2 linked regions of the Medicago truncatula genome follow. The protein of the gene in region 1 interacts with the protein of each later gene in a pairwise test. Links are inferred from orthologs where the notes say so. Each region holds a gene or a part of one and is shown on either strand. Other genes may lie near its edges.

Region 1 (17,341 bases):
TGGCTGATACCACAAGCTTTTCTACCTTGACAGATATTAACATCTGCTAATGAAAGAAATGAATTTAGAAACATGGAAGGCCATGAGAGAAAGCCAAAAGAAGCAAATGCAGGAATATTACAAATTCATAGCTGTTTATACACAGCGCAATAATTAGCAATATTTTCTCTACTAACACGCTCTTATCAGCAACAAAAATTTATCATGTTCTCTACTAACACGCTCTTATCAGCAACAAAAAATATCATTAAGTGAAATTTAAATGGGTATCACTAAATCATGTGAACCATCCCTCTCCCTGTTTAATGAGACCCGCGCAATTTTGCCCAGTAACAGAAAGTGCACTGCTATATTACTCTTATATAAAAAGAAAGTCACCAAGTGCAAATCCATATCAAATTTCAAAGAATAATTATTCTTATGAACAAAGGGAGTGTTGATCCAACTGGGGTGAAACTGAAACAATATTTTATATCTGTTCTGTTTGAATAATTTTGGATAAACATGAAATTACAGCCAGATTTACCTCTTCGATTGAGCTCACGAGGCGTCGGCACATTCCTTGGCGACGATACCGACTGCAAGTTGCAATTAGAGGCATCTCTGCAACGGTAGTCCCGTGCACTCTGCAAATAAGTAAAAGGCTTGAGAACAACCCAATAAAACAGAGATGCTATTTCAAATAGAACAAAATGTGACTATAACTCAATTCATTCATAAATCTACTGGAAGGGTAAGCTTGAGCATAACTGAAAAGCATTTAGATAATTGTCTTTACATAATAAAAAAAGTAGCTGAAATAGAACCATTTTCATAAATGTCAGAAGAACTTAAGTACATTGAATTATATCATCAATAGCACATGTGTGTGTGTTTTGTTTTCACCTGATGGATGCTACAGATATTAACACATCCTGTTTTTCCAACACCACTGTGTAAAACCCTTGAAAATTCAGACGAGCAAAATCAGACCTGAAAACCACATGGAAGTTAAAGCCTTACAAATCAAGACAAGACAAAATCCTAAAGTTGAGGCTTTGAAATAGAGCATAAGAGACGGGGTATTATTTGGACATTTAAATGATGAAGTACAAAGAAGAGGTGGAAAAATTGTCATGGGAAGAACCACTAACCCCCAATTGAATAAAACTTGGGGTATCATGTGGATGCCTGTTCTTAGATCTAACATTGACACGAAACACTCCTCCATGATTGTAAGGGCAACAGCTAATTTTGTATTGCATACTGCCTTTAGGGCAAACCACTGAGCAGAATGAACCTTCTGGTCATCATGTATGCATCTAAGAAGCGTCCAGTCGAAGCCATCAGCAACTTGATTAACTAGCCCAACCTGAGATTGAAGAGTACAGTATACCTGCACATACCAAAAAGTCAAGTCCTTGATTAAATAACACCAATGAGATGATGTTCGGATAATAAAATAACATTTTACTATGTTATTAGTTTGTCTCGAAGTTAGTACGCTACGGCTAATAGCTGTAGTACTAGCACCTGATCTAGTTATTAACCGCATTCTAGGTTAGGTTTACTTCAAATCATATCAATATTATAATATAAGCCATCTGTTGTCCCTGATTTTCTCTTTCCCTAACTGTAAACTTGAAACTCCTGACAAGCCTTACGGTGAAATAAAAAACCAACGTTGTTTAATAATATTATTCTAATAAAACAGAAGGAAAAAATTGGAACAAAGGGAATAATGCTACCCATCATACTGATGAGTATCCAAGGACTTGGGGAATCCTCCCTTGAAAGCTAGCTATCGAGAGGGAGCAACCAAGCCACTTAAATACTCTTAACGATTATCTCATACAACTTGATGTGGGATTTGGGCACACCATAATAACCAAGTTCCTATCGTAGCACTGCCTCTGAGAGCCTGCATCTCAGTGGCTGCACTCTACGACTCTTAACTCGGCCTTTCCGGTCAGCCCTTCCCTAGTTAACCTTTTTCAAGCAGCCAGTGACTAGCTTTGATACTGATTACCTATTAACCGAAGTGCTACATTAAGTATCCATGCTTATTCACAGGTAAATCTAATTATCTGCTCCTTATTCCACCAAGCGAATACCTCTTAAAGGTGTGAATGCATAGACAAATATTTTATAAGACAAGCATAAACACCAGTGGTATGTAACAAAAGCAACTATGCCAAAAGATAGAGATAGAAGCTAATGTGACAAGTAATAGACTCTTCCATCCTTATATAAAACCATTTATGATCTTTCACATAACAGCTCAAACAACATGATATTAGAGGCTCTACGGCAGAGTAATTAAAAAATTTGATCCTTGCCATGCCCTCATTCTAATAAAAAAAGTGACTTTCAGCACACAGTAGAAAAGTAGAATGGGCCAGTGCATTTGTCCACACTTCAAGCCAAAAGAGCTCTCGTGTGAGGGTCGTTGATACCCACTGCCTAAGCTTTGGGGACAATCAATTTATGACACGTGTAGAAATAATTACAATCTTTAAAAATAATGAGAAGAATCAAAATTTATCCTTTTACGTGTCAGTAAAAAGGTTTTGACTTCTCTTTAAAACAAAGCATGTAATAGTTAGAATAAAATACGGCAATTAAAACTTGCCAAAGTCGTTCTACTCACGATATATGGCTATTTTAGTTACCTATTGTTACCGCACACTTTAGTTAAAAAAAATAAAAAATAAGAATGATATAACTAGAAAATCATACTCAAGTTATTCATATCAAAGACAACATTCTAAATTTTTTATTTTAAACTTGTTTATCTAAAAAGCAACCTTTTGGAGCTATACTTGCTACATTAAAAGAACTTTGATCAAAATATCAACATTTGACATGCCAGAAACCTACAAGTACTTTCAAAACATAAACCAAACATAACCTTCAAAAAGTATTGAATACGATCTGCAATTTATATATAGTTAAATTACTAAGTCATAACAAGCCATTGCACAGTCATACAATATGTCACAGGCAATAAGACATAATTTTCCATATTCCATATTCAAGAAACTCAATACAAATGGAAGTATGGAAATTTGAGAAATTGTAGTATAGTACCTCCCGACAACTTTGACTACAAAACCAAGTGTCTGAAACAGCTCCTTCTTGTTTATCTCTTTCTCCGAGGCATTTCTTGTGATCTATTCATTACAAATCCGTCATAATCAAATGGTATCATTATTGAAGCATCAGAAAGTCAAAACAGTGCATGAACTTTCAAGTAAGTAAAAAATTATTATCCATAATCAAATTAACTGATCATTTATTATAATAAATTGTAATGAGTCAAGCTAAGCACATGAAGCACCAATAACTGTAGATTTTGAGGAGTCAAACATATGCAACCTTTATGCAGAAACAACAACAACAACAGCACCAACAATATTTGAACCGTTTTGTTTATTCCAAAAAAAAAAAAAATAACTGAACCAACAAATTGTTCAGCCATTAGCATTATTATAATTCTAAATAAGATCAAACACAAAAGACAAATTTATATGGTATAACTCAACTTGATATCAATCTACAAGCTCTATGAAGATATTTAAAGTTCAAACCATGCAATCTATTATGCAACGTGAACATGAAGGTCAAACTTACATTTATGTTCGCATTGTGAACATTGCGATGAATCATGTGCATCTGAAACCTCTTTATCAATGACCAAATTTCCACAAATCCGACAAGTGCAGTTTATGCAGTACCAGTTGCCATCGGGGATCTCCTGATGTACAGAAACAAAAAATGTGTCATTCTTCTGAGGCAGGGTAAGAGAAACCCAACAATAGTCACATCCATAAGAATACAAAAAATACAAAATAGACTTAATTGATATTTGAATGCATGGAATAAAAAGAAGTAGGCGTATTAGAGCGACGTAGATAGAGATGTGCATGTGTTGGTAATACATAGCAATTCATTCATGCCCACAGGTCTATATCAAGAGAGAGAATATACTCATGGAACCTACTCATCAAATCACAGCCAACATAGCATAATGTTTGACAGTTCGTTTGTATTGGCTCGTAAAAAGCAAGCAAAATATAGTATATCATACAGAGAAACTTTACCCTTGATAATGATTCAATCATGTTCTTCAAGCGATATGGCCTATGATGGAAAATTTTAATTGCAACAATATTTGCTAGCAATCAGCAAAGTCAAAATAAACATTCCCAATTAGAAAGCAGAAAAATTAACTATCTCCAGGGTTTCGCGCAGGAAGGGACAGAACTACAAGTGTTTTGCTATTGTAAAGGTGTGTGTATATGTGAGAATGGTACAAGAGAATGTTAAACCAACCACTCAATAGCAGGTTTGAATTCCCAAAATAAATAAATAAAACAATTTATCAGCAATGACAAGGCATGAACAGAAGAAAAATATTAGAACAGAAGAAAATGATAAACCGAGTGCAACTGACCTGAGCGGACAAACAAGCCAGGTGAAAAGTAGATGGACAGTTATCACAGCATATCAGCTCACCTCCCTCACCACACAACCCGCACGAATCATCATTTCTGTCATTATCAACAATGTTCCCAGCTTGATTTTGACTTTTCCTGGCTTTGTATTCAGCTGACCAAGCTTGAAGGAGGCAAAGTGTAAAGGGCTCACCAGACTTCATGAAAAGATTCAAGCAAGGGCGACTCAGTGTAAACCCAGCATGAATCTTGAACTCTGATAATGTAAGCACCTTACCGCAACACTTACAAACAATACCGTCTTTGGTGATCTTGCCATCCTTAGTGACAGAATTATCTTTAGAGTTTCGGTATTGAATGATGTCATTTAAACATATGACCTCATTCTCAATCAACCAGGACAAGAGAGTCCTTTCCCCAAGATAATACTTCTTCCCATCCATATTGTGCTTCCCTCCATTACAAGGATTCCTTGGAAGCAACCTGCAACGGCCTTTATGGCTTTTAAGCTTTCTCAAACCCCTTGATTTGCCGGATTTAGCTCTAGATTTACCTCGCATTATCTTTGGGTTGAAGTCCTTATTCTTGAGTATTGCTGACACTAATAGATCGTCATCTTCAATATGGCATCTATTGGACTTATTTGTTTTAGTAGTAGAGTAGTTTGTTTTCTTAATATGTCGCTGGTTTGCACTGCCTGATAACTTCTTCTTGTTCTTTTTTTTTCCCACACTGTCAACTACATAATCTTGAACTTCTTCCAACACAGTCTGAGTGCCACATACATCACCATTCAGTGACTGCACCTGATCAGTAACAGTTGATCCCAGTATGTCACTGTGGTGTAACATACTCGGTTTGATCTGAGATATCCTTTTGCACTTCTTCCGCATTTTCTTTTTAAGAATACCATTAGAGGAAGACCATGTACTATCTTTCCCAAAAACAGAAGCCATTGAGATTTTCCTCCCCTCTTCCTCACTGCATTCGGACCGATTTTCTGATGCGTGCTTATCAGAGCTTTTAGAATTTCTAAGTTTAGCTTGATGAACAGCATTTACTTTAGATTCCAAGTCCAAATTTCCAGAGCTTGTAAGAACATCAAAAGAGGAAGCACTTGAATGGGTAACAGTGCTACCCAATGCACAAGCAGGTAAAGAGGCTAGATCCATACTACTTTTGCTCACTGACATTTCCATTAATCGGTTTTCTATGATGTTTGGTTTATGTTCTTCGACATACATATCTTCTTGGTTACCGTCGGATGTCTGTTTACAAGCATGACTGTTTATCATAAAAGCAGATATTTCTGTGGTTCTGGTGGCTGTTGAAGAGTCGCAGAAAATGGCTTGGTCGTGCTTTTGTTCAGAAAGAGTGTGAGACGTATTCTCCAAGGCTGAATCAACTGGAGCATATGCCATTTTACCCTTTTTTTTTGAAGAATATGCCATTTTACCCTTACTAGAAACTAAACTACAGCTTGCTTTTATAACCTCTTCTCCCCTTTTCAGAGCACCGACCTTTCTATCAAAATGTATAACTACTACAAAAGGATCCATAATCCACCATTGATAAGCCAACATAGCAGCGGTCTCTGGCTGGTTTTTTAATTTTTCAACATTTTTCAGTGCACTCGATAGATCGGACCAAAAATCGCTAATATTGGTCCATTCTTTACGGCCTCCATATGTTACATTGCACTTTTCAACAGACAAAAGTTGGCCACATAATCTCCAAACTTTTGTAAATTCCCGCATAATTTTTCCCTTTGGTGTCTTGTAGAATGACTCCATCCACCGTCTAGAAGGCCGTTGATGCTTCCCAATAGACCATCCTGACATCGTAAGCAACTGCACGATATGAAACTGCAGTAAGGGACGGGGATCCTCTTGGTCCAGCTGGGACAATGAATTTGAGATAACCATATTAGAAGATTGAAACCCTTCAGGCATTTCCTCAGTTCTTAAGGGAGACTCGGACTTCTTCACAACAGTGATTGATGGACTCGTTACTACTAGCCTGCTTGCCGAGCTCTCCTGGGATACAGGAGAAGCAACTGACTTACTTACAGACACCTCCTTTGGGATGTTCCCATCTTCTGTTTTAGATTTACAATTTGTAACATCTGCATCGTCATTAGAAGCATGAATTTTCTGTACCAAGTTATGCTTCAATAGATAGCAACTAGATATCACACCGTGTTTAGAAGATTCAACTGTACGAAATGCAATCGAGTCACTATCACAGTCTGTAGCAGCACAAGTCAGGTTGGAAATTACTACTTTTGGAATTCCAGATGAACCCAAAACATCTGAATTAGATCTACTACAAGGAAGTTCGTGCAGAGAAAATTTCATACGTTTGACATTTACATTCTCATCATTCTGATCTTCACAAGTTAAACTCTCTGGCAAACATCCCAGAGCAGTCTCATTGGAATGCTGAATTGCATTAATGTCCTCCTCGGGATGGATAAATCTTGAAGATGAGGGACGCCATATGACCGAGTTTTCATTACTAGAGCCAAATGACTTAAATGTGTTTTTCGTGGATTCATGTTCAAGGTTGATGGCTCCAGAAATAACACGCCTCTGATTAGACTGAAAAGTGTCATCACCAAAAAAGACCTCTGTAAAAATCTGTCTTTCTTCATTAGATCCTTCAAAGTTATCATCACATAAATGTTCCATTTTGTTGCTGACTAGTGCAGTTTCACTTCACAGCTTCTATTACTGGTCTACCTGTTGCCACCCCACCATTATAAATGGCTAGCTCCTGCATACTGTAAACAAATTCATGAAGTAACATGTTTCTTCAGCCAAAATGCCCTAGTTGACGAACTTCATTTCTGCAAACCCAAGTAAACACAAATAAAATCACGTCGTAAACCTGAGAATCTACATAAGAATATAATTTCTTAATTTCACAATTTATGCATTTAAACACCTAAATAAGGAAATTGTTGGTTTCAGAATAAGATAAATTCAGACTTATAGAACTATCGCCATTAATGCATTCATTGAACTAAAAGTCCATGCAAAGCAATATCATCATACACTTCCCACAATTAACACGTTCTTTCCAAAATTAGTTTAGAGAGAGGGGATAAGAGATATATTATTTTACATGAAATGGTGCTTTTCAATATAGAAAGGTTCGCATTTATCCCAATGCAGTCTACAAATCTAGGATAAGTGCTACTTTGCATACTCTTCTTAAGAGAGGCTGGCTCTCTCTAAGAATTGATATTATCTTCCATTCCCAATTTTCATTCATGTTTTTTATCATGTAAGGAGCATTGCTCCGTTCTCCATTTATTTCTTTAAGTTTTCGTTTCTGTATTTGTTGGTTTACCTATAACTGTAGAGAATCATGGATAACTAAACTAACAAACTTTAACTAATTTGTAATTAATACTAACCTAACTAACTTGTAACTACATTTAACAAACTCTAACTATATTTAACAGTAACAAACAACATCTAGTTGTAGGAATAATCTCCTTTAATTCACTTTATATTTCAATCTGTTTGGTTCCTATCAACAACAGCTACTAAATAACATTTTCTGCACAATTAACAAGCCAACATTGATAAATCTTCATGCATTCATTTAGCAATAAACAACAAAAATCATATAAACATGCAAAATTTAGCTTGAAAATCATAACTCAGATGCAACAAACAGAAATCATAATTCAAAAAAAGTTACCATCAAACTTCACAAGCTAAAAATTGAAGAACATTGATTACACAAACACACCAAAACTTCAAATTAAACAAATACAACTTAAAAACATGATAGAACACAAACACACACCAGTTTCTCCAAATCCACATGCAATGAAGAAAAACCAGCAGCTCTAGAAATTAACGAAAAAATCAACAAAATTCAAAGCGAAAACCTCACTATTTTCACAGATCCAATCCTACCCAACTCAACTCAGATTCTCAAGAAATCTAAATCCACAAAACACTTCACCCACCAAAATTAGGGTTTCTCAAAATTTCCCAAAATCTGAACATAGAAGAAACAAATTGCAAATTTTGCAACAACCCCACCTCAAAAGATAGCTTTTCGAAATCACCCAACAATGCTACAACGAATTCCAAAGCAGAAAACAAACAAACTTTTTTCTCTCTCTAGAAAACCCTTTTTCACAGTTTCTCTCTCTAGAACCATATCCTTTCTTCCCATGTGACTAGCATTTGGATTTGTCTATTTGTGGCACTTTTTTTGAGAACCCTTTTAGATGAAGCAACTATACAAACACTCATTGAGATTGTGTTGTGCAATGAAAATGGACAAAGTGGGTCCCACCGATTAAGGGGACTAAAACTATTATGTTTTCTACTTTCTTTTTTGTAGTACTTCCTTGTATGAGGTGAAGAGAAGAGATCCATCATAATTTTTGCGGCAAATGTTTAGATTAGGCTTAAATATGTAATAGTATGCACTTTTATTTTGGCATTAACTATTTGTCAAAAAAAATATTTTGGCATTAATTATGCATTTTTTTTGTTTGATATCGGTCTGGAACTTGTAAAAAAATTGTAATTGGTATTTTTGTTAAATTTTTGTAAAAAAAATAAACAAAATTAATTGTGTGTCACCTGGACCAATAATTACACGTCACGTGATTCAGTAAACAAATGGATCAATTATCATCTCATTTGGTATAAAGAGATCCATCTCAAAGTTTGTCTCTTTGTGTGGAGGCTTCTATGTAATCTTATTCCAACAAATGACAACTTAATTTGGCGAGGTGTGCTCATGGCTATTAACCAGCTTTGTGTAGGAGAGTGTACCCAGACTGCTTTTAGGATTGCCGACTGACCCCACAAACCAACACGAGTTTTTTCAGCGTGTTTTGTCCTCACTCGCACGCTTACCGGAAAACTTTCCGGTAGGTCACCTATCCCAAAATTGCTCCAAGTCAAGCATGCTTAACTGTGGAGTTCTTTTGGAATGAGCTACCGAAAACAAGATTTGTAACATCCCAGACTGCTTTCAGGATTGCCGACTGACCCCACAAACCAACACGAGTCTTTTCAGCGTGTTTTGTCCTCACTCGCACGCTTACCGGAAAACTTCCCAGTAGATCACCCATCCCAAAATTGCTCCAAGTCAAACACGCTTAACTGTGGAGTTCTTGTGACAAACATTACATGTTTCATTCGTTTGCCTCCAAATCGAATAAATAACATCCACTGATACTTGATAAGAAGAAGAAACCGTTTAACAACTCCCTTATTAATTTTTCTACCACAACTTAAATTGACCAAAACCTCCGAAATGGTTTGCCGTTGATAGTTGTTAAAAAAAGTATGCTTTCTTTTAGATTGTGGCTCACTATGAATGTTGTTTCCTGTTTCATTAAATATAAAATAAAAATAAAAATTTGCGATTGGCACTTTGACAGTAGTAGTAGCATGTGATTGATACAAAAAATTAAAAGCCATTGACACTTTGACAGGGAGTAGTAGCATGTCATAGATAAAACAAATATAAACATATTGATTGAAAAAAAAAAGAATAACAAGGTAAAGTAAATAAAATTACATAAAATGAATTACTAGATGTAACCATATTGCATCAAAACGTGTACTCCTTATGCATGCAGTTCATATAAAATGTGGAGTATAATGAGTGCAAAAGGTGGCACAATATAATAAAGACAAATGCAAAACACACTTAAATACAACACATATTCATAAAATAAAATAAAACGTCATATACCCATATCTTCCTCAATGTTATTGTGAAAAAGTTAAGCGACATCTTCTTCATACTCAATTCCAATATATTCTTCATCTGTTAGATAGTCAAATAAACCAGTGCTTGAATAAGTAGCATTTAAATTAGAAGTGTCCAAACCACTGCAAGGGGTGTTCAAACCAATCTCTAAAGGTACATTTGAGAGGTGATTAGAGGTGCTCAAATCATTCAAAGGAATGTTCAAATCAATATTAAGAGACACATTTGAGAGGTGGTTAGAAGTGTTTAACTCATCCAAAGAGATGTTCAAATCAATATTGAGAGGCCCATTTAAGAGATGGTTAGATGTGTTAAGTCATTCAAAGGGATGTTCAAATCAATATCAAGAGTCATCTTGAATTAGCAATGTGAAGCTCCAATTTTCAGCATTTTTTACCTTCAATTTATAGAAATCAAAGTGACTAGAAATTTTAGATGAAATAGTTTGCCAAATTTTGTACCGCCAAAATTTTAATAAAATGGAAGCAGGTCTTGAAAAAATTTGCGCCAAAGATGAACATATGTTTGGGAAGTGGAAGAGTACAATTGAATTCTCTGGTGTATTGAACAACGTCATTCTTTAATGAAAGAACATGAAAAATGTAAAATTAGGCACTTTATTTAATGAAAGAACATGAATACGGTTGGGAAACAAGAATTGCCATGACGGCAAATTAGACATTTTAGCTTAAATTAAATAACAATGACCACATTCCTTAAAAAGTGTGAAATGATCAATTTTGCTTATAAAAAAAACGGAGGGAGTAGTACAGTTTCGTAAAATTGAAAATAACCTTTGATTTTGTCTTTGGTGAGAATCTTATATAGAATAATTGAAAGCAATGGTAAGGATCAACACATCATCCACTCGCCCATTTGCCACTCACTCGCCGCTGCACCTTGATGGTTCAACTATCCATCATCCGACTCAACACCTATGTATCATGATCTGAAGCATGTTACGACGAGCAGAAAAAGTTAAAGTTAACAACAACAAAAGAAGAAGAAATTGCAAATGGAAATAGTAGAAAAATAGTCTCATGGTGCATTGAGAAACAAAAATGAAAGGAGGCTCACGGAAAAGGAAGCCAAGAGCACAAGACATCCTTTCATACAGTCACTGTTTAATCAACATGCATCCAACGATAACCATTAATCTACTTGCATTGAAACTTAAAATTTGACCATTGGTAACTCTTAACTTATTCATCTACCTCAATGTGTATACTTTTACTATTGGGAATGAAAAAAGTCTGAAAATCAACATTATATCTTTTTCTCTTTAGTACTACGTATTCTCCAAAAGTCTGAAATTATTTAAAATCTGTATAACTAAACAATAAAAATATTTTATTAATAGATGAGAAAAATTGACGAATATTTAAATAAGAAAATTACACAAATAATAATAATAATTTATTCTTACTACTAATAATTAATAGAAAATGTATATTATCTAACATGTCTTATTGAATGATAAATATCACACTTGCCAAATAAACAACCCACTTTTATTTTTTGGGACGAAATAAAAAAACAACCTACTTGAGTAATTTCTTTTTTCTTCTTTATATGATTAATTTCTTTTTTCTTAAAAAAAAAATAATCAACAAAATCGTTTTTTTATAGAAAAGGAAAAAAAAAAAAAACTATCACTATAATAGTGTGGCAGACAAGTAGACATGAAACCATCTTGATCATTGCAAAATTTATTTAGGCATTCCTTGAGCCGTGTGCGAAGACAATTATAGAGTTAGACAATTAATGTTGCATTCTTTGAGTCGTGTGAAGTAATTAAATGTTGAAATTGTCATTAATATGATGATTTGAAATTCAAAATCGTGCCGTGAAGTGTGCAAATTAGATGAGAGCTAAGTGCAATAAGCTAATATTAAGTGCAATAAACCTAATAAGTTTTGGTGCCCAAATAAGTAGTGTTAGGGTTTCCCATCTAGGGTTGCAATGCTAAGTAGGATTAGAAATAACTAGATCGATGACCTGTGCGCCGCACGGATCCTACTGACTAAAATAGTGATCAATGAGTTATACAGTAATAAAAAATTGTGGTCAAATTTATCAAATGAATTTTGTTTTTTTTTACACAAAATTTATCAAATGATATAAATTGATTAGATTAGTGATATCATGACGACATTTTTTTAGTTCGAAAATCGTACTGCAGTTGATTCAACTTCTATCATTGTTAATGTACCAATTTGGTCTAGACTTTTATTTGTACCCCACACAACAATTGATTCATTCATTCATTATGTAATACTCATCATGGGTTATATTAACATTAAATTAGAATAAAAATTTAAAGTACTAATAACAACATCTCAAACTACAATCTGAACTGGATTACATGTCCAGATGAAGCAGTATCATAAAATACAAAAATAGCAAAATAACATCCTCATTCCGTCCAAAAGTATTGTTCAACTTGATAAATAGGTTCAGTTGCACTAGTACAGGTTGGTGAACACAGTTTTGTACGGAGGACCAACATTAGAGGAGCCATAGGATATATGATCTTATTGTTACCGGCATCTGTAACACCAAGACTAATTGTTGCACCTTCAACGAACCTACGTGAATTGCAAAGTTGTAGCCACTGACCAAAAAGAGTGCACGACATAACCTTTACGCGAATGAATTTGAAATCACATTTTTAACTACAACCCAAGTAATCCACAACAGTTAATTCTGCTTCGTCACCAGGCAATGCAGTCTGACAAAAAACCAAACCAAAACAGCTTCCGCAAGACATCTTCCACAAAACCAATTAAATATATATATCTTACCAAATTGCCAAAAACAACATCAGAGGTTTCTTTCAAAAAAAAAAAAATCAGAGGTTGTCAACTCCTTAACAATTGTGTGGTAAAACTTTGTGGGAAGAAAGAGAGTAGAAGCACCATTTAGAATGCTGGAGCAGTCGAAAGAACTTCAAAAGGCATATCAACTATTTCCACCAAATTATACATGACTCGTCATTTTCTTCAATAAAAATAGACAACAACTTACTAAAAAAATAGACAACAATTAACCATAATCCAAAAGAAAGAATTGCAAAAACAGTAACTAATTCTCTTTATAAGTAATTGTTTTTCTAGAATCAAATATGTTAATATTATTTATCATATTCATTGTGCAGCAAAGCATTCATACTTGTGCATTTGCTATAAACATATCATCCACTTAAATCTTAGTAATAAACAAAAGAGTAGAAGAAGAATAATAAAGCATCTACTTACTTACAATAGTGACAGAATTAACCCAATCCTTTTCTTTTTATTAACTTATACTACCACCTGAACTATGTTTTTTTTTGTAAGCTACATCTCTTATGGGGCTAAAAGATCAAGCATGATCCTCTTGTCTTGTTAGTTTCAAGTATTGAGTTTGCTAGAATATTTAACAGGTTTGATGTAAGCAAATAATTTAAGGTTCAATCTTAAATATAATGAAAAGAGTTATTATGACTCAGTCTTACAATGTTCCTATTGATCGCAGAGCTGAAAAATGACGGATTAAAGTTTTTTTTTGCTGCGAAATTGCAGATTAAAGTTAAGTTGAAGATTGTTATCTTCGACTTTGTTATCTAAAATATGTCCTTTTCATAGCAAGTTCGTGAAACATTGGCAATGTCATCTTATAATATGTTCCTCGAGACAGACTATACTTCAATTCAATTTCTTCATATTTATATCTAATAAGCATAAGCATTTGGTTACAGTTCTATTTTACTTTGTATAACCTGAGTTTTGAAAATTAATGATCTCATAGTATGAAGAGAATAACGCTAATATAGAAAGAAATTAAATGACAGAATGCATAAGATAAGAATCTAATTAAAGCCACGCAAACTCTTGCAATTCCGACGAAATGCAACATTAATGAAAACAAACAAATTACAATAACAGTAAAAACTAACAATTAATTAGTTGTGTATCAATTGACTAACTTTCCATTGCTAGTGTTTTCTACTAATCATATGACAATAGTGAATCAAAAGAAGCTGTAGTAGCAAAAAAGGTGACACTTAGTATCCTCAACGTAATTAAAAAACAATATATTTTGTTATCCTTTGCTTAATTAATCTTTTCATCGGTGTTGTTAATGGGGCTTATTTTCTGTCTTATTCCTACAACAAATATTCCATCATGCTCCATTATTGTTAGAAGTCAAAAAAAAAAGGCCAAGCTTATACACAGTAGGAATTCTAATTATAATGATAAGCTAAAGTAAAATCTAATGAGTCATTAAAGGTCTTCCAGGACCTTCTCTACATGCATAGGCTTCTATGAAACATCTATAATCAATATTTGAATAAATAAGCAAGGACATGTTGTTTTGGTCATCCCCTTTCTTCCGGATCTTCAAGCCACATTCCTAGCTCCATATATAACTGAAATCACACCAAAATCTACTACACCTGTTACCAATAAGCAATATGTCAGGTATCCCACACCAGCAGATTTGTGGCCATCACAACTGCTTGGAGAAAAAAACCGTTGATGTTCAATTGATCAAGTCGAACAAAAGAGCACTTCAAATCATTAAGAAGCTACTCATAAATCTTTTATTAAAGATGGAGTAGAATTTTTACTTTTCAGATAAAAAAAACATGAATAATATCAACCCCAAAGAAAATAATCTAATCATCTTTAACATGAAATGAAGACAAATAAGGGATTAACTGTAACACCCTCTCTAATTATTTGAATATTTTTAATGAGTTTAAAATACACTTATATGATTTGTATGATTTATATGATTTATTTTGATGAGTGATATTTTGTTATGATATATGTTGGTATTTATTAGAAATATATATATGTTATTTGGTTAGGAAATATAAATGTTATTTGATTTAGAAATATATATGTTATTTGATTTAGAAATATATATATGTTATTTCATTTAGAAATATATATATATATATATATATATATATATATATATATGTGTGTTATTTGGTTTAGAAATATAAATGTTATTTGTTATAAAAATACATATGATTTGTTGCAGAAATAAATGTGATTTGTTATAGAAATAAATGTTATTTGTTGTAGAAATATATGTTAATTTGTGTAGAGATATATGTTATTTTGTGTAGAAATATATGTTATCTGGTGTAGAAATATATTTCTTATTTGGTGTAGAAATATATATATATATGTTATAGAAATATATTTGTTATAGAGATATAATTGTTATTTGTTGTATAAATATTATATATATATATTAGAATAGAATATTGAGATTTTGGTAGGCAATCTAATATATTTTTGTACTTAATATAATATATTTTGGTACTCAATTGATATATTTAATTACTAGATCTAATAGGTGCATTACTTGTTTCCAAAGTTTCTCACTTATTAGTTGTAAATTATCTCTATAAATAGAGAACTCACACAGTGCATTCTACACACCGAAATTCACAGTTGATACTTCCTGTGCTTTTCTTCTCTTCTCCCTCTTTTGACTTGTGTTGACGAGTCTTTCTTCTTTTTCTACTCCTTTCTGTCCCTTCGGAACTAAAAGTGTTCTTAAGACTATAATCCCTCTTCGGTTTAATATCCTTTTAGATAAGAGAAAGCGGTAGAGTCCTTCGTCGATCAATCCAAAGGTAAGGGTGAGACTAACTTTGCAATTCTATTAAGTATGTGAATCAATGGTTAGGTTTAACATGATGTAGGATGAGTTTTTGAGGAATTGAAAAGTAGGTTAAAATTGAAGAATTAATGAATAAACGGTAGAAACTTGTTAAAAAGATGTAGAAACTGTCCTTAGACCTTAGATAATGATTAAGATGATTTGATGATATTTATAATGTTATATAATTAGATATATATTGCATGAATTATGTTTTATGATTGAGATGTTGATGACGTGCATTTGTAATTGTTTTATATGATGATTATCATTATTGATTGATACTATTTTGTAGTTGTGATGAATATGATTTACTTTGATGATATGATTAATGAGAGAATATTATATATTGTGAATTAATGATTAAATGCATTACTTGAAATATTATTGAATGATCAAGATGTTGAAATGAATTGTTATTAAGCTTGATATGAATTGATTATGCTGCAATTGTTGTTAAACTAAGTTGCATGAGTTGTTGTTGATTATCATTTGATATTGTTATATCTTGAGATGTTTACGTGTCGCCTATGTTGCTGTTGTTGGTTATGGGAAATATTTATATGACTTATGTGGAAGATGTATGATGTTTAAGTTGTTGATACTTCATATTAATATTGTTATGTTGTGAATTGCTTGTGTTGTTTCTGTTGCTGTTATGAACTGCTAAGTTGTTTGTAATGTGATTAAATGATTAAATGCATTACTCGAAATATTATTGAATTATATTAGGAGCTTTGTCCTCCGCACGATTATTAGTATGAATAAGTTGATGATGAACTCCAAATTATTGGATGTATAAGTGATAAGTTGATTAAGGTGTCCTGTTGATAGAGTCCATGCATTAGCATTCATTGAGCTTTGTCCTCACCACGATTAGGAGCTTTGTCCTCCGCACGTTTAGGAGCTTTGTCCTCCGCACGATTAAAGTATATTAATACTTATGATGACGATTGGTACCACATGCATATAAGTGTCTAAGTTGCATTGTCGCATTTGTCGAGTCAAAGTCGTTGTTGATGAATTATCATCCATGAGTTGTTAAGTTGTCGATGAATTATCATCTATGAGTTGTCGAGTTGTCTTCTACCCATGTGTTGTTAAAGAAGTACCTATGAAGATTATACGATGTTTATGATGTGAATTATATGATGTTGACTAAGATGTTGCTATGTTGTTTAAGATATTGATTATGATATTGTTATATTGTTATGTTGTTATGATGTTGTATATGATACTGATTATAATGTTATGATGTTGTTTACGATGTTGATTATATGATATTATTATGATGCTATATGTTGTGATGTATATAAGTGTTATTATTAAGTGATGAATATATTGTTTTATATATGATTAATATTATTAAGTGAATATTATGTTATGTTATTGATGATGATCGAATGTTGTGATTACTTGGTAATTGTTTATCAAAGATGCTATGATGTTTAAGATGATATTGTTTAAGATGATTATGTTTAAGA
Region 2 (16,803 bases), on another chromosome or scaffold:
GAGTTAACTAGCAACAACCCAACACATTTATGTTGTAGTTATTTTCTTCTTTTGGGTTTAGGACCCTTTCAATACCATTTATTTTATTTTATTTTAACTGCATTCTTTTTTGAGTTAACCCTCTTGCTCCATAGAATAGAGATATCATAATTTATAATTCTACATAAAGATAAATAAAAATCAATCAAGAATTATTTTACATATGAATTGAATTCTTATTCTCTTAAACGATTAATGTTTAAGTGAAGCTTATTTATCACTTGAGTTTAAGAGAAGAGCAAGTCCTACTTTGACACAAATACAAATGAATGAACCTAAAAAGTCAACTTTACTTATATTTAGAAACGGAGGGAGTACTCATATTTTAAAAATATATTTATGTGCTACTTAAAATTTTTGATAATGATAAAGTTTTAGTCTTTTATATTTCTTATAGAATATGATTGCTTTTTGTCCAGGTTGTTAATTTGGTCTATGTTGGATGAAATATAAGACATTGTTGGAAACATTGCTGAAAATATATTGTGTTTTAACTTTGTTAACTTGATTTTAATGTTAAAAACAAAAAATGATATTGTCTTAAAAACCGCATCAATTAAGCTAATCCAAGCCGCATTGATATGATTTGGATAATCTTTTGCAAGTTAACCGAACTAAATTGAATCGAATACTTTTTTATCTCGCAATTACAATAATTTTTATACTCTATAATAATTTTTATCTCGCATTACCCACACCCACTTGGAATTCAGATCTTTTACTTGTTCACCCTTCTTAAAAACAATAAAAATACCATTTTACCAACTTTAATGAAACCCTAACTTTTCTCCCCTATATAAATTTGGGAAAAAAGAAATTGTTTCAATCCATCACCGTACGAGAACATTCCGAAACGTGCTTCTGTGGCGTTCGACAAACTTGAACACTCTCGTGCAATCATCTCTCGCAAGCATCACCCACTCAACAAAAGGTACCAACTCTTGCAATTCGAATACTCTATACTTAATTCGATTGTTTAGTTTTTCTTGTTACGGTTAAAAATTCAATTTTTTCCTCTGCCGATTAACCCCAGAAATTAGTGTTTGTGGCCATGAAAGGTGATATATTTGCTTGATGGTTCTTATGCGGAGATATAAACTTGTGAGCGGATTTATTTATGAATATGTAGAGAATTTGGGTAAAGTTGAAATTTTTCTGATGAATTTCATAATTATTTTTGGTCTTGTTATGCTTGATGTATATAGAGATAACTAGATGCTTTTTTCTTCATTCCATCCAGCACTTGTATTTCTTTTTCAAATACATGATTGGGAATCTAGAGTCTAGACAGTTTTGGAGGTTTATTTCTTTTATTCCATTCAAGCTTTTTTGTGTTTTTCAATGGTGCTGTGAAGTGGCGAAGCTAGGATTTTTTTCTTTTCTTTTTTAGGGTTTAGGGTTGCCCAAATAGTTATAATATATACTGTAAATTGTTGGTTCAAACTTGACTGTTATAATTGTCGAGACCAAGGTTCAAATGAAATCTCACATATTTTTGAAGTTTACTCTAAAAGTACAAATGAAATGTTCAATATGTTGCAAAGATTTTAATGCCAATAGCTATTTAGGAGAAAAATTAATTTTGGGTAGGCCATGACTAGCTCCCCCACTGGTGTCGTTTGCGGATTGCAGAAATAGATGTTTGTTTAAATTCTGCTACGCGATAAACACTATTTGACATAACTTTGTACTAAATTGTATTGGAAATGGAAACAATAAATATTTGTTCGAGTTTGGTATGCTATAGTGTTCAAATCGCAGCTCCGCTACTGGTGTCGATTGCGGACTGCAAAAATAGATGTTTGTTCAAATTCCGCTACGCAATAAACTATGACATAACTTTGTACTAAAGTGTATTGGAAACAATAAAGTTTTTGTTCAAGTCCTGGTATGCTATAGCGTTCTAACTGCTTTTGTGATTTCCCCTTTTGTTCACGTGTAATTGTTGTTACTATGTGCATATTGTTGTTTTGTTTTGGCCCCATGTGAAGTGTAGGAATTGATTTATTTGATTTCACTTGAAACAGAATGGATCATCAAGGTCATGGCCAAAACCCAAATATGGGTGTTGTTGGTAGTGGACAAATGGCCCCATATGGTTCTAATCCATACCAGCCAAACCCTATGACTGGGTCACCTGGGATGGTTGTTCCCTCTGTTGGGACTATTCAACCTGGTGGTCAACCAGATGGAACTCAGCTGGGACAACATCAGCTTGCTTATCAGCACATTCATCAGCAGCAACAGCAGCAGCAGCAACAACAACTCCAGACCTTTTGGGGAAATCAGTATCAAGAAATCGAGAAGGTAACTGATTTCAAAAACCACAGCCTTCCCTTGGCAAGGATCAAGAAGATTATGAAGGCTGATGAGGATGTGAAGATGATATCAGCTGAGGCGCCTGTTGTATTTGCAAGGGCGTGTGAAATGTTCATATTGGAGTTAACCTTGCGTTCTTGGAATCACACTGAAGAGAACAAAAGGCGAACCCTTCAAAAGAATGACATTGCAGCAGCAATCACAGGAACTGATATCTTTGATTTCTTGGTTGACATTGTGCCTCGGGAGGACTTGAAAGATGAAGTGCTTGCATCGATACCAAGAGGACCAATGCCTGTTGGAGGGCCTGCTGATGGAATTCCTTATTGCTATATGCCACCTCAAAATGCACAGCAAGCTGGAAATCCTGGTCTCATGATGCATAATCCAAACATGTATGCTCCACAGTCTCATCCGTACATGGCACCTCAAATGTGGCCCCAACCACCGGAGCAACAACAATCGCCTTCAGATCATTAGATTCTTATTATGGAAGTGTTATGGTTAGTAAGGTGAACTTTGGTGCAATAAATTAGTTTTTACAAGGATTGAAAGTTGAAGTTTTATATTGTACTACTGACCATTTCCATACATCATAGTAAAACTTAATTCTGCAGCTTTTAAATTTCAATGTCATTTTTCCTAATGGAACTTAATGTTACTGTATTAGAAATTTACAGATGAATAACCAAGTATGGTTTATGATGATTCATCACTTATTAGCACAAGATGTTTCTAAGTACAGGTGTCAATCGCATGCTGTATTGTGATATAGCAGTAGTGGTTCCAATCTGATCTTGCATTATTAGAAGTAATATAATAATTTTTTATGTTGTGTGGAAGCATGTGCTGTTATATTAGGTGTCTAATATGGTTGAGAACACACTGAACATGAGGAAGTCTATGTTATTATAATTGAGTATTTATATCTTTCCTTTCCCCGTTTGTGTCCTCTTGTGGATTGAATATGGAACTGTTTTGTTTCACATTGAGATGGGTTGTGACAATGCAGTGAAATAGACTAATTAGTATATACTTTTTCGCCAAAAAAAAAAAAAAAAGCTTATCCTAGATCCATTGAGTTTTCCACTTTATTACTTTCTAATATATACACAAATTCATCACTTTCTTTTCAGATTATTACTAGTTAATCAAGCTACTGTGCGATAATTATGCACAAGATGCCCTTTTGTCATTTCTTTTCTGCTCTTTTATAAATGAGCCCCGGTGGGTTTCATCCAAAGGGTGTTTTATTTGACCAGCTGAAATGATTGAGGCCTTTTCTTGTACTGGTATCTATCGTAGTTCATTGTTTGTCTGATATTGCCTACGCTTTTAGATGCACTATGCAGACTACTGCTGATTCACAACCATCATCAGTTGCGGACTTAAGGATGTCATATTGAACGGTCGGGATTGGTTATGATCCTTAGTGATGATAGAGTGTAGCTAATAGCTTATATGCAATGAAAACATATTTTGTTCACTTCTTTAATGAACAATTACATTATAGAATTATTGGGGGATATAAGATTGGTTAGGTGATTGAGGCGAGGGAGTTAAAGGAGTGAAGTGATTTAGAAGTTGAGGGTTTGATCTCTTCAACAAAATACAACCAATACTAACATTTTCCGTTTAATAATAAACAATAACAAATTACCGATGTTAACTAAAAGCTTAATTTACCAGTCAAATATCAAATATTGAGAGCTATACTTATTTATTCCCATCTAGTTTTTCTATTTTACAAGGGTAGTAAGAAAATAATGTCGAGGAATGTTGATGAATCCTTAATATGTCGGTGGTTCTTTCACTATCGAGTTGGGGCTATTTCATTTTATCTTGGCCTCCCAATAGAAGCAAATTCTATCCTATGAGTATGTCAACTTGGCTTTGTTATGCTTGGTGATTGAATTCTCCTCATTAATTTGGCGCTTGCTAGTATTCCTATTTTCTATCTATCTTATTTGAAAATGCTGATTAAGGTGTAGAAAATGGTTGCTGAATTTCAAAGAATGTTTGCTTTGGGGTGGTTCCTCGAGTTGGTCTAAAATTGCTTAAGTGGTCATGTGTGTAGGTCTAAAATAGGAGCAATTCTTAGATGGGCACAAACCCAAATCAAATTTATTTGGGCGCACACACAAATGTAAAAAATTTAAAGAGAAAGTATTTAGTCACATCATTTAAATCTATTCTCTTTTACATTTTTTCATTTGTGAATGTGTGTCCAAATAAATTTGATTTGAGTTTGTGTTCAAGATAGAATTTCTCCTAAAATAGAGGGAGAATTATGGGTGAAAGATCTTATACTTCTTAACATAAGTTTTCTTTTTAGATGGTGCATGGCAAGGTACCTTGTCCCTCAAAAAGGTATTTTCAAGGTTTTTTTTTTTTTTGCAATGTCCCAACATGATTAGGGTGTGTGGAAGTGGAATCTCTCTCGGTGGAGGGAATTTGTGCGAGAAGAGTCTATCTTCAGTCGCTCTATCTTTTGCAGAGAAGAGATATATTTGCCGTTAATGATTTGTTGTCGGAAGGAAACTAGGAGAAATTTATTCTAAAGGAGGGTAGTTGATGATAATATCGATATCCATGTGTTCTCTAATTCTGAGTTAAGGAAAGTGAATTACACTTAATTATTAAGTGTAAGATCTTAGTGTGGTATGAGGTTTGTAGATGGTTTGGGGGTGGTGATTGATATGCAGGGGAATATCCATTTGTTTTGGGTTTTTGTTACTTATTGGAAAAAATGGGAAAAAATGGATGGAGTTGGCTCTAATTTGACAATTTGGGTTGTTAGAGGGTGATGTTCTCGACTTGGGCCATGATTTCTCACAAACAGTTGACCACATTAAGGTGCAATCTTGAAAATGACTGGTACATTGGTGGCCAGTAGATGCACACTTCTCCTTGGGGCTTATGTTTATAGTTGACCTCTTTATCTTTCTATCCTCTTCTTGATTGATTATGAAAATATTCTTGTGGCATTTTATACTACTTCAAAAAATATTATATCCTTCTTTCCTACTTCAAAAAATAACAAATGTAGGTTACATTTTCTTGTAAAGAAAAAAATAACCAGCATTTTTAGTTGAGCGTGGCACTTAAGTCTCATGGTCATGGATACACATAGATGATCGAAAATTGGTGTACCTAATTTCAACACAACCACCACACTTAAATTATTAACGGAAAATCACAAATGTTCAAATATTACCAAGGAATCAACTCATACACGATTTCACTAACGAGTAATAAAAATAAAATTTGAGGTGAGCAGATTATGAAACTATTCCTTTGGCGTACCTTTTATTTTACTCGCATTTTATTCCTATTTTGGTAGATATTCAAATTATTTTGAGGAAAAAATGGTCATTTTTCTCACCATTTGCCAATATGGTTAACCATTTTGTTGGAGGTTCGATCTTTGGCCAATATATATGGAAAAACATATGTTAGGAAATATCAACCCTTAAATGAATCTCACTTGCTTTGAAGAATTAGTCTTCGCATTTGCGCATAGGATAATTATTTATTTTTAAAAGGCCATTGGTGCAAGAAGGGAAACATAACCACAAAATGAACTTTAACTAATATGGGCATGAGGGGGCATACAACATCATTAAAGAATAAGGCTGTGAGACCCTTGAGAGCAACTAAAAACTATAATATAAGACAGTAATTTGTTAACGACCTATCAGTCTCTGTCCATCCAAGGATAGGGAATGTGAGGGAAGTCCATAAGGGTAGGAACAGAATCTTACTAGTTGAGTGATGATGGGTTTAAGTAAAAAAAATAAAATCTGGAAAATGTCAAAGTAAACTTAATCTCAGAAAATCTGACAGGATCCATTGCAGTAAACACGGCTTCTTTAGACAGAGGTCATAAACAATAGACTGTCAGCATTTGTATGAATCCAACAGCTGACCTCTAGCTGCAGATGATTGATAGGGACTCCAAGGAAACTCCACCCTTAAGGAAGGTTGGGTACAACTTTGACCCAAAGCTTGATAGAGATGAAAATAAAATGTGAAATTATTTTGGCATATTACATCTTAAACAAACTTATAAACACTTCAGTATGAAATCTCTCCCAGATAATAATGGCGGATCATAGAATTGTGCATTTATGTGGCACTCATAAGCCACCACAAAAAATGAAAAAGATATTCTAACTGAAAATAACCAAAGTAAATAGAGACAAGTTGTACATTGACTTAAAATTACTCCTCTCAAAATAATATACTATATTCATCAGTGAAGCATTCTTACATGTCCACAAAATGGATTAATTAGCCATGTCGTGACCACTTCTTTTCTTCTACATAAAGAGAATGTCAGAGAGAGTTCTGAGCATGTATAACACTGAATCTCAAAAAATAACTAACATTAAGATAGACACTGTACATAATACTGCTAATCAAAACCACATTTTTTTTTGACATTTGCATCAACTTAGTACCAAGTGGAATTAATAGAGGGATTCTAATAGCATATAGCCTCGCCATCACCTAGGTTTTCTTTTCACAACTATTCCTTCAAGAATCCCATCAGTACCAAAATTACCTGAGAATTGATGAGGATCTACAGGGCCTGGTAGCTGAAATGTGATTGAGAATTGGCCTGCTGGGCAGAGGTTTTGAGTTTGCATTTCAAATACCTGAGTGCGCATTGATACAGTCTTCTCTCCTGTTGTGGTTATTCCCTGAATAAATACTTTGCCATCTGTGTCAACCTCGCAGCTGAATTCCTCTGCAATCATAAATTCAAAGTTCATTGATTTAACATATTAAGATCTCTTTAACACACTATGCTGCTGCAGAAGTGATTGAAAGACTTGCCAACCCATCATAACAACATAATGTTTAACGATGATCAAGATCTGGTTATAGTACTCAGAACCATTGTACATTGCCAAAACATCAAACAACAGATGCAATTGCCTTCTTTCCTTGTTTCTTTGTTAGTTTTAATTCTTTTTCTCCTTTTCCAATTTTGTAGTGTAAGGGCATGCCATAAGGAGAAATATCAAATCAACATAGTTGTCATTTGAAGTCATATGGCCACATCATCGTATACATAGAATATACAAACCTTTTCAGCTTTAGATAATTTTATTTCATTAACATAATTCTCAAAGCAGTGTAATGTAGAACCCAAACATGAACTAGACATTCCTAAAATAGAGGCACTTATAGCATAGAAGATTAGAACATAGAACTAAATAAATAGCAATCAAGTGACTTAATAAGATTTAAAAAGAAACTTACTATCATCCCTCTTCACACCAGGGAGAGACATACGAAATAGGTAAGAGTCTTCACACTCTCCAATGTCCACAAGTCCCATAATGGGACCAATCTGCCCCATAGCCGCACTTCCTGTCAATGCAAAACCACTGTTGGTAGCAGCCACAATGTTAGACCATTCCTTCTTAGTAGGACGAGAAGGAAGGAATAACGCAGCCGGAGCACCAACTTTAACAGAATCACCTTCACCATCAAGACCCATACCACCATTAAACGGCACACAGCTAATAGGGGTCACAGCATGGGCATGTGGCAGTTGGTACTTAAGATCAGAAAAATCATCACTTTCAGTCACTTTTCGAGAACTAGTTTTCCTACTAGAAGATTGAAGCTCAGGCAAAGGCAATGGGATAATTTTTTTATGCTCAACCTTCACAACTGACTTATTACGCAAACCACTACCATCCATACAATTATATAATCTAGCAACATCTTTGTCCACAACAAAATCCTCCAATCCACTCAATCTCTTGAACCTTTCAATATCCTCTTGACTGAAGAAAAACACTTCCGGGTTATCAATAAACACAATATTTTCAATGATCTTAAACCTATTACCTTTGAACATAGACTGAGGGTGTAATTCAAGTGGGAACAAATCAGTAAACTGAGGGTAATTGCAATTGGAGGAACCTTCCAGCCCTTGAATGAACCGGCGCAAAAAGGTTAACTTTACCGTTAATGATTTATCAACATTCCTAAGTATATAATAGTAAATTCGTTCCAATTCAGATACTTTCATATAAGAATTTGTTAATTGCTCACGTGTGTATGAAGGTAATCCTTCAGCTACTATCTGTAACACTGATTTTTTGTCACCATTGATATCAGGACCAAAGTACGTTCCCATAATGAAGTAAAGGAGAAAACATTGATCATCATTAAGGTTATTGGAATTTAGGTTTTTGGGTTTGGGTTCTAATAGTGCTAAGGTTGTTTGATATTGGTTAGGTTGTTCCATTCTATTTTGAGACTTAGACATGTCACACTAAAACCATGATTCTGCAAGAAAAATAATGAAAATGAATGAAATAGTAATGTAAATGGAAATATTGAATTAAATTGAAGGTATATGGTGTTTGTTTAGAGTTGAAGAAATTAAGTAACAGTGACATTGTTGAAGAGTGGCGAAAAAATAGGAACGGAAGAGTGTAGAGAGAGAGATACTTACATGTGATGTGAGGTTTGAAGAATTATGAATCGCATGCATGCAGTGAGAATTAAGAATGAGAAATTAGAGAAGCTGTTTGGCTCCGAACAGGGGATTTGTGAAGGTGAAATAGAGCACCGTCTGGTAGTGTTAATGGTATGTTGGTGATGCTATGAGGCTTACCTTGGGCTTCGGAGCTATTGGGCTATGATACAAAGCGTGCGTTACATTTACATAGAAAGAGAGTAAGACTTTTTTTCTTTTGAAATAGAAAAAGAGTAAGACTTGTGATACATCATCTTAGTTAATGGTATTTCTTAATTGCCAAAGGGGATAATTAAATCAAGTATTTTTGTCAATTTCGTCTACGAACTATCAATCTCTAACCAAGATCCTGATTCGAATTCAGCCTTGGGCATACAGTAGCGTTAAAACTCTTAGGGAGTGTCTGCCGCCCATTTGGGTTCCACAATGCTCGAGGGATTAGTCTCTGCAGTTGCACGCGGAGGATACCCGGTTTACACCCAAAAATATCTCTAATCAATTTAATCTCTAAACTGAAAATATATATGAATGTAAGGACTACATTGACATTTTATAATATAGGGTCTATTTAGTATATTTTTATAGTTTAGAGACTACATTGAAGAGAGAGCGGTAGTTTAGGGCTTAAATTGATGGTTTGTTAAAAAAACATGCATAAACTTATTTATCATGAAATATTCTTTATTATTGATCTTGAGAAGACTCGTTGACGACAAAGGGAGCGGCTGAGATGCAGTGAAAGACGACTTTGATTCACCAGAGGGGGTGATGTATCTGTAAGGACTCTAATGCTCAATCGAGTAAGGGTTTGAGAAATTTAAAAGGTTCAAATGAGTGAGGTAGCAACAAAAGACGGCGTGGACCGAGCTCAAAGACCTAAAATGGTTAGGCGGTTGCAACAAAAGCAATGCAAACCATGTATCACCGTATGACGGAGATCAAAGGGTCCTGATTTGGCCATGGAATGCTGGTGTAGGCTTGAGCGGTCTCTTGAGCGGAGGTCGTCTATTTCGGCCTAATTAGTAATCAGATTGGGTCTTTGTCCAGTCCAGAACACTTATGCAATATATAACTAGCAATGAGTTTGGGTCCTTCAGAATGGACTAGACCTCCGACAACATAGCAAGCCAAAGTTCAAATCTCAGTTGAGAGAGGTACCCATATTTAGTATCAAACACGCCTCAAATGAATGAAACATATGAGAAACCCAAAAAAAAAAAATGTTCCCAGGTCTTTAAGTTATTACATACCAACATTTGTCGTTAAAAAAATCAGGTATGCAGAGATAATAATAGCAAAAGTTAAATCTAAATAACAATGTAAAAGCAATTTTGTGGGATACCGGAACATGGGGAGATTTTCTCACACCAACATCTTTCTCAATTTGCTCCGAATCACACCTTTAGCTATTTGACAATGTAGTATATTGTTGGTCTAACGATTTTATTCCTCTTGTAGGAAATCACCCCAATTTATTCTCATCTGCATTTGATGATGAAATCACCCATAACTCATCAATTTTCTTCTCTCAAAAAGGTTCAAACTCGTGTTTTTCTCTTCTCAACCATTGTTCTCTTCTACAGGTTAACATGATACTAACATCTAAGCCTTAATTTAACTTTATGCCAAGTTTTGTTGTGTATCAACCCTCCGGTTTCTAGCGGAAATGAGCCCCCTAATCAAATCAAACCGAATGATACGTCCTTCGTAAAACTCATTAACCACTTGAGCTTTTTCCTTTATACACAAGCATACAGTATCAAACTTCGTCTCATTAATTAAGCAAACTTGTCAGTAATGTATCTGATGCAATAATTAATAAGGATGATATTACTCTGAATCTATTGATCAGAAAAAAATGCTACTATGAAATCTACAAGCAGGTCACTAATGTTGCTCAAGGAGGATTTATTCTTAATAGTGACCACTAAACAGGCCTAGCATTAGCAACATTGTAGTTTTACACTTTGCTAACACATTGAGAACAATGTTGCATCAATTTTAAATCACCATCATTCAGTAATACACAATGGAGTATACAAGAATCAACAATTACACAGAACAATCTTTCAAGAGTGATTGAATTGAATCAAACAATAGTGGTGTAGTAAAAAAAACAAAATAACCATGGCTCTCATTTTGATACTTTCCATTTTCTATTTCTATTCTTCAATGCAATTTGTGCAACAGGAGAACAAGTCCTAAACTTCTCAACCCAAAATTTCACATCCTCTTTTCCCAATCTGAAACTCATCATCAAAACAGCCCCCAAGAAAAACCCTAAAAACCAATCCTTTATGACTTTATTTCTTAACAATGAAATTGAAGAAACCCCAACAAAACAAAAGAACAATGACTTCAGAAACAGGTCCAATTCTGAAACCCTAAACGCCCAGAAACCCGCAACACATATCAACACAAACAATGGCAACAAAAACATCTGCTCATTCCTCCTCTTGCTCGATTTGTTTGTTTTCCTACTCCAGCCACTGATGAGACGGTTCACAATCCGATGTTCATTCGAATTGGTTTGTGCGATTTCGCGGACGAGGGAATTAAAGGGTTCTGGCAAGATCTTGAGATTGAATGCGAGTGTGGAAACTAGTTGAAGCAATTTTCGATTCGACGATAGGGGCCATTGTGGTCTTCTAGCGCAGACGATTTGTAGGTTTGTTAGAGTTTGATGGGATTGCGAAATGGCGACGGATTTGGGTTTGAGGAGATGAAAATTGATGTTGAATTTGGAGATTGGAATTGGAAGAGTGTGATTTGGAATTGAATGAAGGGATTGGGTTGTGGAAATGCAGGGTTTCAGTTTCGCCATTGTTTGCTTGTGTTGTGCTTTGTGACCGTTAGCTAGAGCAAGAAGAAATCAAGAAAGGTGTTTGCTTTTACACATTCATTATTTAATCCCATATACTTTTTTGAATTTGGATTCTACTTGTTGTTGGTTGACAATGACATACATGGTTCTTGGCCGTCCGATATGGATCAATGTATAAATTATTTAATTGTGTAAAATTCACTATGTAATCTCAACCGTTTGATCTTAAATTAATGATGAAGTAAATGCAGCATATTTTGATTTTGCTAATTTAAACTGAGAAATCTCAACCATTTGATCTCAATCTCTGTTGATTGATTGTGACATTTGGATATCAAATATCCTAACAAAATAATATGACACTAATGAAACAAGTATGTCAAGACCAACAAGAGATTAGAACATATCTCAAACCAAAATTTTAAGGCATGAATATGAGTTGTTTCTCTTCTAAATCTAACATTTAAGTCATTCATAGTTAATCACTCATGCTTGAACTAAAACACTAACCAGGATTACTCTTAAGAAATAACAAGGCAAAATAGTTGGCACTTTGTGTCTTTTCCAATTTCTTTCACCATCCAAACACAGATTATGCATTTAAGCAAATAATGGAATCTTTTTTAGTAAAAAATTTATTGCAACAGAAAGTTTCCTGACCACAAAATCATATGGCTAGAATCAGTTTTGATTAGCAAGGTGGGATGAGTTATTACTTTGGTACAACTTTGGAAACACCTTAATTGATGAAGGCGATCTGGTTGGAAATGCGTGGTACTACCACTATGTGGATGAGAAAGAATGTAATATTGACTATCTGCTAGGGTATTCTTGCATCCATCTGTCTACTCTCAAATTCTCCATATTAATTCCAATAACTACACTGACATGACGCATAATGGAAATAGGCAACAAACCCTCTTCCATGCCACAAACGCTATGTACAAAGTTACTCAGTAGGCCACAACTACATTAATATTCATCATACTATCTAAAAGATGGACCACTTTTTCTGTCTATATATAGTATTCAATTCAATTTCTATCTAAATAATATTCACCACTAAAACCTTTTCTAAGAAATATTATTATATGAACAAGTTTGAGTTTCCTGGTGTTGATAAAGTAACCATGAAAATTCTTGACTGTGAAAATGTCTTGAGTGGAGGAAAGCGTAACCGATGCGTTGTTCTACCAGCTAATGTTCCTATAGTTGCTGATTCCTTAAAACGGAAAAATCAAAACTGGTAAACATTTTTAACCTCCCAAACATGTCATAATTGAATAATATATATACGTTTTTGCGGAAGATAAATACTTAGATGTCTCATTTTCTTGATGCAGGATTGCCAGGGCAAGTTCTACTAATGATTTAATCATACAAGTTGGTGATTCCAGCTTTCACTTGCATAAGGTGGACCTTTTATTATAAGATATATATCATTTTTTTTATCATAACATGTGTATCAAAATGTGTGCTATGTATCTGATCTTAATTTAGTTATATATCACCATTGGCCATTGCTTTTAGTTATATAACATGTTAAATCTACTTATTTACTCTTTTCTCTGTTTTTACATTACTCATTCACACCAATAAGTACCTCATGTTCCTAATTTCAAACATATCATAACATGTAATATTGTTCATATTTTTAACTATAAATTAATGATTAATTCATTGATTTTCCAGCTTGCCATGGTCTCAAGAAGTGAATATTTGAATAGGCTTGTCTTCAAAAGGAGAAGTAACAACATAGAAGACAATAATCATACTATCCAAATAGACAATCTTCCAGGTGGTAGAAAAACATTTGAGTTAGTTGTCAAATTCTGTTACGGTTGGAAATTCGACATGACATCATCCAACATAGCTTCATTATATTGTGCTGCAAATTTCTTAGAAATGAGTGAAGATATTGAACAAGAAAATCTAATTTCCAAAACAGAATCCTTTCTCACATTTCTAATGTTATCTTCATGGAAAGACACATTTCGTATACTCAAAAGTTGTGAATCAATTTCCCATTGGGCCAAGGAGTTACAATTAGTGAAACGTTGCTCAGAAGCAATAGCTTGGAAAGCATGTGTAATTCCAAAACTTGAAATCAAAGTTGATGCTTGTTGGTGGTTTGAAGATGTATCACTTCTACGTATAGATCATTTTATTGAAGCGATTCAATCTGTCAAAAAACGTGGAATGAAATCAGAGTTTGTAGGTTCATGTATAGAAAATTGGACTAAAAAATGGTTCTCTAAAGTCACACTTGGAATTGATCCAAATGTGACACAGAAACACATGCCAATTCAGTTACATAAAGTTTCAACCGAGTGTTTGATTAAAATGCTTCCAACTGAAGAAAATTCTGTCTCTTGCAATTTTTTGCTTCACCTGTTGAAGGCAGGTATGATGTTGAAAATCAATCATGAGTTGTTGTGTGAGCTAGAGACAAGAGTGGTTTTGATTTTGGAGCAGTGTTGTGTTCAAGATCTTTTGGTTAAGAATCAAGGAGATAAAGATTCTTTGTATGATGTTGATGTTGTTGTTAAAGTGTTACAATCTTATGTTCTTGGCATTTCAAGTAATTCTGCTGCAAAAGTTCACATTGTTGGAAGGTTGGTGGATGGTTATCTATCACAAGTTGCAAGGGATCAGAAGCTCACAGTGGAAAGTTTCAAATTGCTTGTTGAAGTATTGCCACAAAATGCTAGAGATAGTGATGACAATCTCTATAGAGCTATTGACATGTACCTTAAGGTAATATACTAATATTATATAATTTATTCCCGAAGTTTTAAATCACAGTCATATTCGAGTTTTGATCTTTGATATTGCGTACAATCACAGTCAAATGCGGCTGATCCACCTCAATCGTGGTTGTGCAGCAGTTTGGCAACATAAAAATCTATAATGTTGTGACCCAAGTAAAAGTCGCAAACCTTTTTTTAAGTGCATGTTTGGATCAACAATTAGTTTGGCAATATCTCAATGACACCGTGGTGGCACACCATGATTCTGCAAAACTCATGGTCTTCTAAACATGCATTAATAAAACTTTGATTATATCATTGCTATATGAGTACTTCAAGTTCTATTTGTGTGGACTGCGGATGTTTAGTTAACTATTTAATTGAATGGTCCATATTGTCTTGCATTTGTCTCTATGATTATATGGTTGTTGAAATCTGAAAACTTAAAACTTAACTCAATTTTGCAGGCACATCCATATTTGACAGAAGAAGATGGAGAAAATGTGTGTAATGTATTGGAATACCATAGATTGTCACAAGAAGCGCGTCAGCATGTGATGAAAAATGATAGGTTGCCCATGAAATTATCAACAGGATTTGTCCTTTTAGAACAAGTGAACATGTCATGGACAATGGCAAGTAAAGGATCAAATTACCATAGGAGTAAGACAAGCATCAGGATAAGCAAAGATTTTGAAAAGAGACAGATGAATCAGGAGATAAAAGTAATGAGAAAAGATGTTGAGATGATGAAGTCACAACTGCTGGAACTAAATACTTGCAAAATGAAGCTTCAAAAGCATTTGAAGTTATCCACTCGTTGAAGTTATGTACAAACACCTTAACATATAGAGCTTTTCTTTGATGGATGTATTTATCAGCCTCGTTGAAACCGGTTAGTTCAAAATGAAAGAAAACTAGCATAGGGTGTCCTCTCATCCTTCTGTGAATGTTGAAGAGGATTGGCAATAAAATACGCTTTTGGTCTTGCTAGCACTTCTCTCGCGTCAAAAATTATATTGATCGTTTTGTTAGTAAAATATCTTAGTTTTTGGATACTTTTTCAGCCAAGTAAGGAAATGTACGTTTTTTTGGATCGACATGCTACTTCGGACATATGGTGAGAAAAACATATATGTTGATAACATAGGTGATCCACCGTTGACTAGTAATTAAAATCAATCAGAAATTTCAACGACGATCGACTATATTATTTAGAAATAAAAACTCAAGATTTTTTTCATACTTACAACTAAGATAGTGAGTGTATCGTTGTCTTGTTGAGATGAATACTGTTAGCTAGATCTGATTGAACGACAATGATCGATGACATGGAGTCGTGGAAAAATATTCAACGACAGGTTTCTCGGGTTATTTTTGAAAATGCTTTAAAGACTAAGAGCTAGCTTGTTCATGAATTGACATTTTGCCATTTAAAAGTCTAAACGATCAGTGTGCAACAAAGAGACTAATGTTTTTGAAACATGTGAATATAGTAAGGTGCCTTTCTTTTCCTAATCTTAAAGCTAGGGCCATATATTATCGAAATCACTTGGAATCTTAAAGCTAGTGCATGCATAATTGAAGTTATTCTCTCTCTCTCTCTCTGATCTCTACCTTAAATACAACTCAAAACTTGTTTATCAACACACACTCCCACCTATCTCCCACCACTTTTTTGTCAACACACACTCCCACCTATCTCCCACCACTTCTTTGTCATCATGCCTTCAGAAGCCTCCGTGACCGAAATGATGGTTTTGCAGATGGAAGCCGCCTCAATTCTCACCATCACCACCTCCATCCCAATAATTATCGACCGTTCTAGGGCTCCGGCACCGATCCCAGATCGGTTGACAGTTGGTGATGCCCTAATCGTGCATGAAGGGTAAGTTGATATCATGCATTAGGAAACATGACATATCATTATTTTAACTGACGCAAAATACCCCCGCGTGAGTTAACTGACGCAAGTATATAACCCAGCGTGACTTAAGTCACGCTCGGCACATGACTTAAGTCAGCGTGAGTTAAATCACGTTCCTTACACCAACGTGAGTTAACTCTTACGGCGTGAGGAAGATGAGACATACAATGTCATGGCAGGATGGTAATTTTGATGCAAAAGTGAACATAGGGACAATGTCATTCCACTTCCACGTACTCTTTTTAACATATGTAGCCATTGATCTCCAAAACTTTGTTTGGACAAAATTTGCACCATAACTTTGTGAATGCTAGCTATTTTATTGGTTATTTGAACTTTAAATTCTTTTTGCCTTCAGATTCCTATTAATCTAATTCAATGTCGGTTGTTCTAAATATATTCAGACGAGTAGTGTGTAATCAAAGTTTGTAAACGTAAA

The links.
Region 2: the proteins of increased DNA methylation 1 (region 1) and increased DNA methylation 2 interact in a two-hybrid assay, tested with the Arabidopsis thaliana proteins (3 studies listed by BioGRID, with this or other methods). The link is inferred for Medicago truncatula from reciprocal best matches to the Arabidopsis thaliana genes ROS4 and AT1G54840.

Annotation. Positions count from the first base shown.
Region 1 is NC_053043.1:38,460,831-38,478,171, forward strand, and holds the start of increased DNA methylation 1, read right to left. Parts: upstream 8,829-17,341; 5' UTR 8,498-8,828; exon of another isoform or gene 8,256-8,497; intron 7,285-8,255; 5' UTR 7,127-7,284; coding exon 4,436-7,126; intron 3,737-4,435; coding exon 3,613-3,736; intron 3,153-3,612; coding exon 3,070-3,152; intron 1,376-3,069; coding exon 1,134-1,375; intron 973-1,133; coding exon 886-972; intron 627-885; coding exon 527-626; intron 44-526; coding exon 1-43. UniProt on the Arabidopsis thaliana protein: Histone H3 acetyltransferase that binds methylated DNA at chromatin sites lacking histone H3K4 di- or trimethylation and catalyzes H3K18 and H3K23 acetylation. Prevents the transcriptional silencing of transgenes and of some endogenous genes.
Region 2 is NC_053042.1:40,653,340-40,670,142, forward strand, and holds increased DNA methylation 2, read right to left. Parts: upstream 9,037-16,803; 5' UTR 8,840-9,036; intron 8,671-8,839; 5' UTR 8,651-8,670; coding exon 7,630-8,650; intron 7,112-7,629; coding exon 6,867-7,111; 3' UTR 6,583-6,866; downstream 1-6,582. Other genes in the region: nuclear transcription factor Y subunit C-3, read left to right, coding at 2,068-2,838; root phototropism protein 3, read left to right, coding at 12,779-12,933, 13,031-13,100, 13,380-14,444, 14,905-15,261. UniProt on the Arabidopsis thaliana protein: Prevents DNA hypermethylation and transcriptional silencing of transgenes and of some endogenous genes. May act as a molecular chaperone of IDM1, regulating its H3K18 acetylation activity.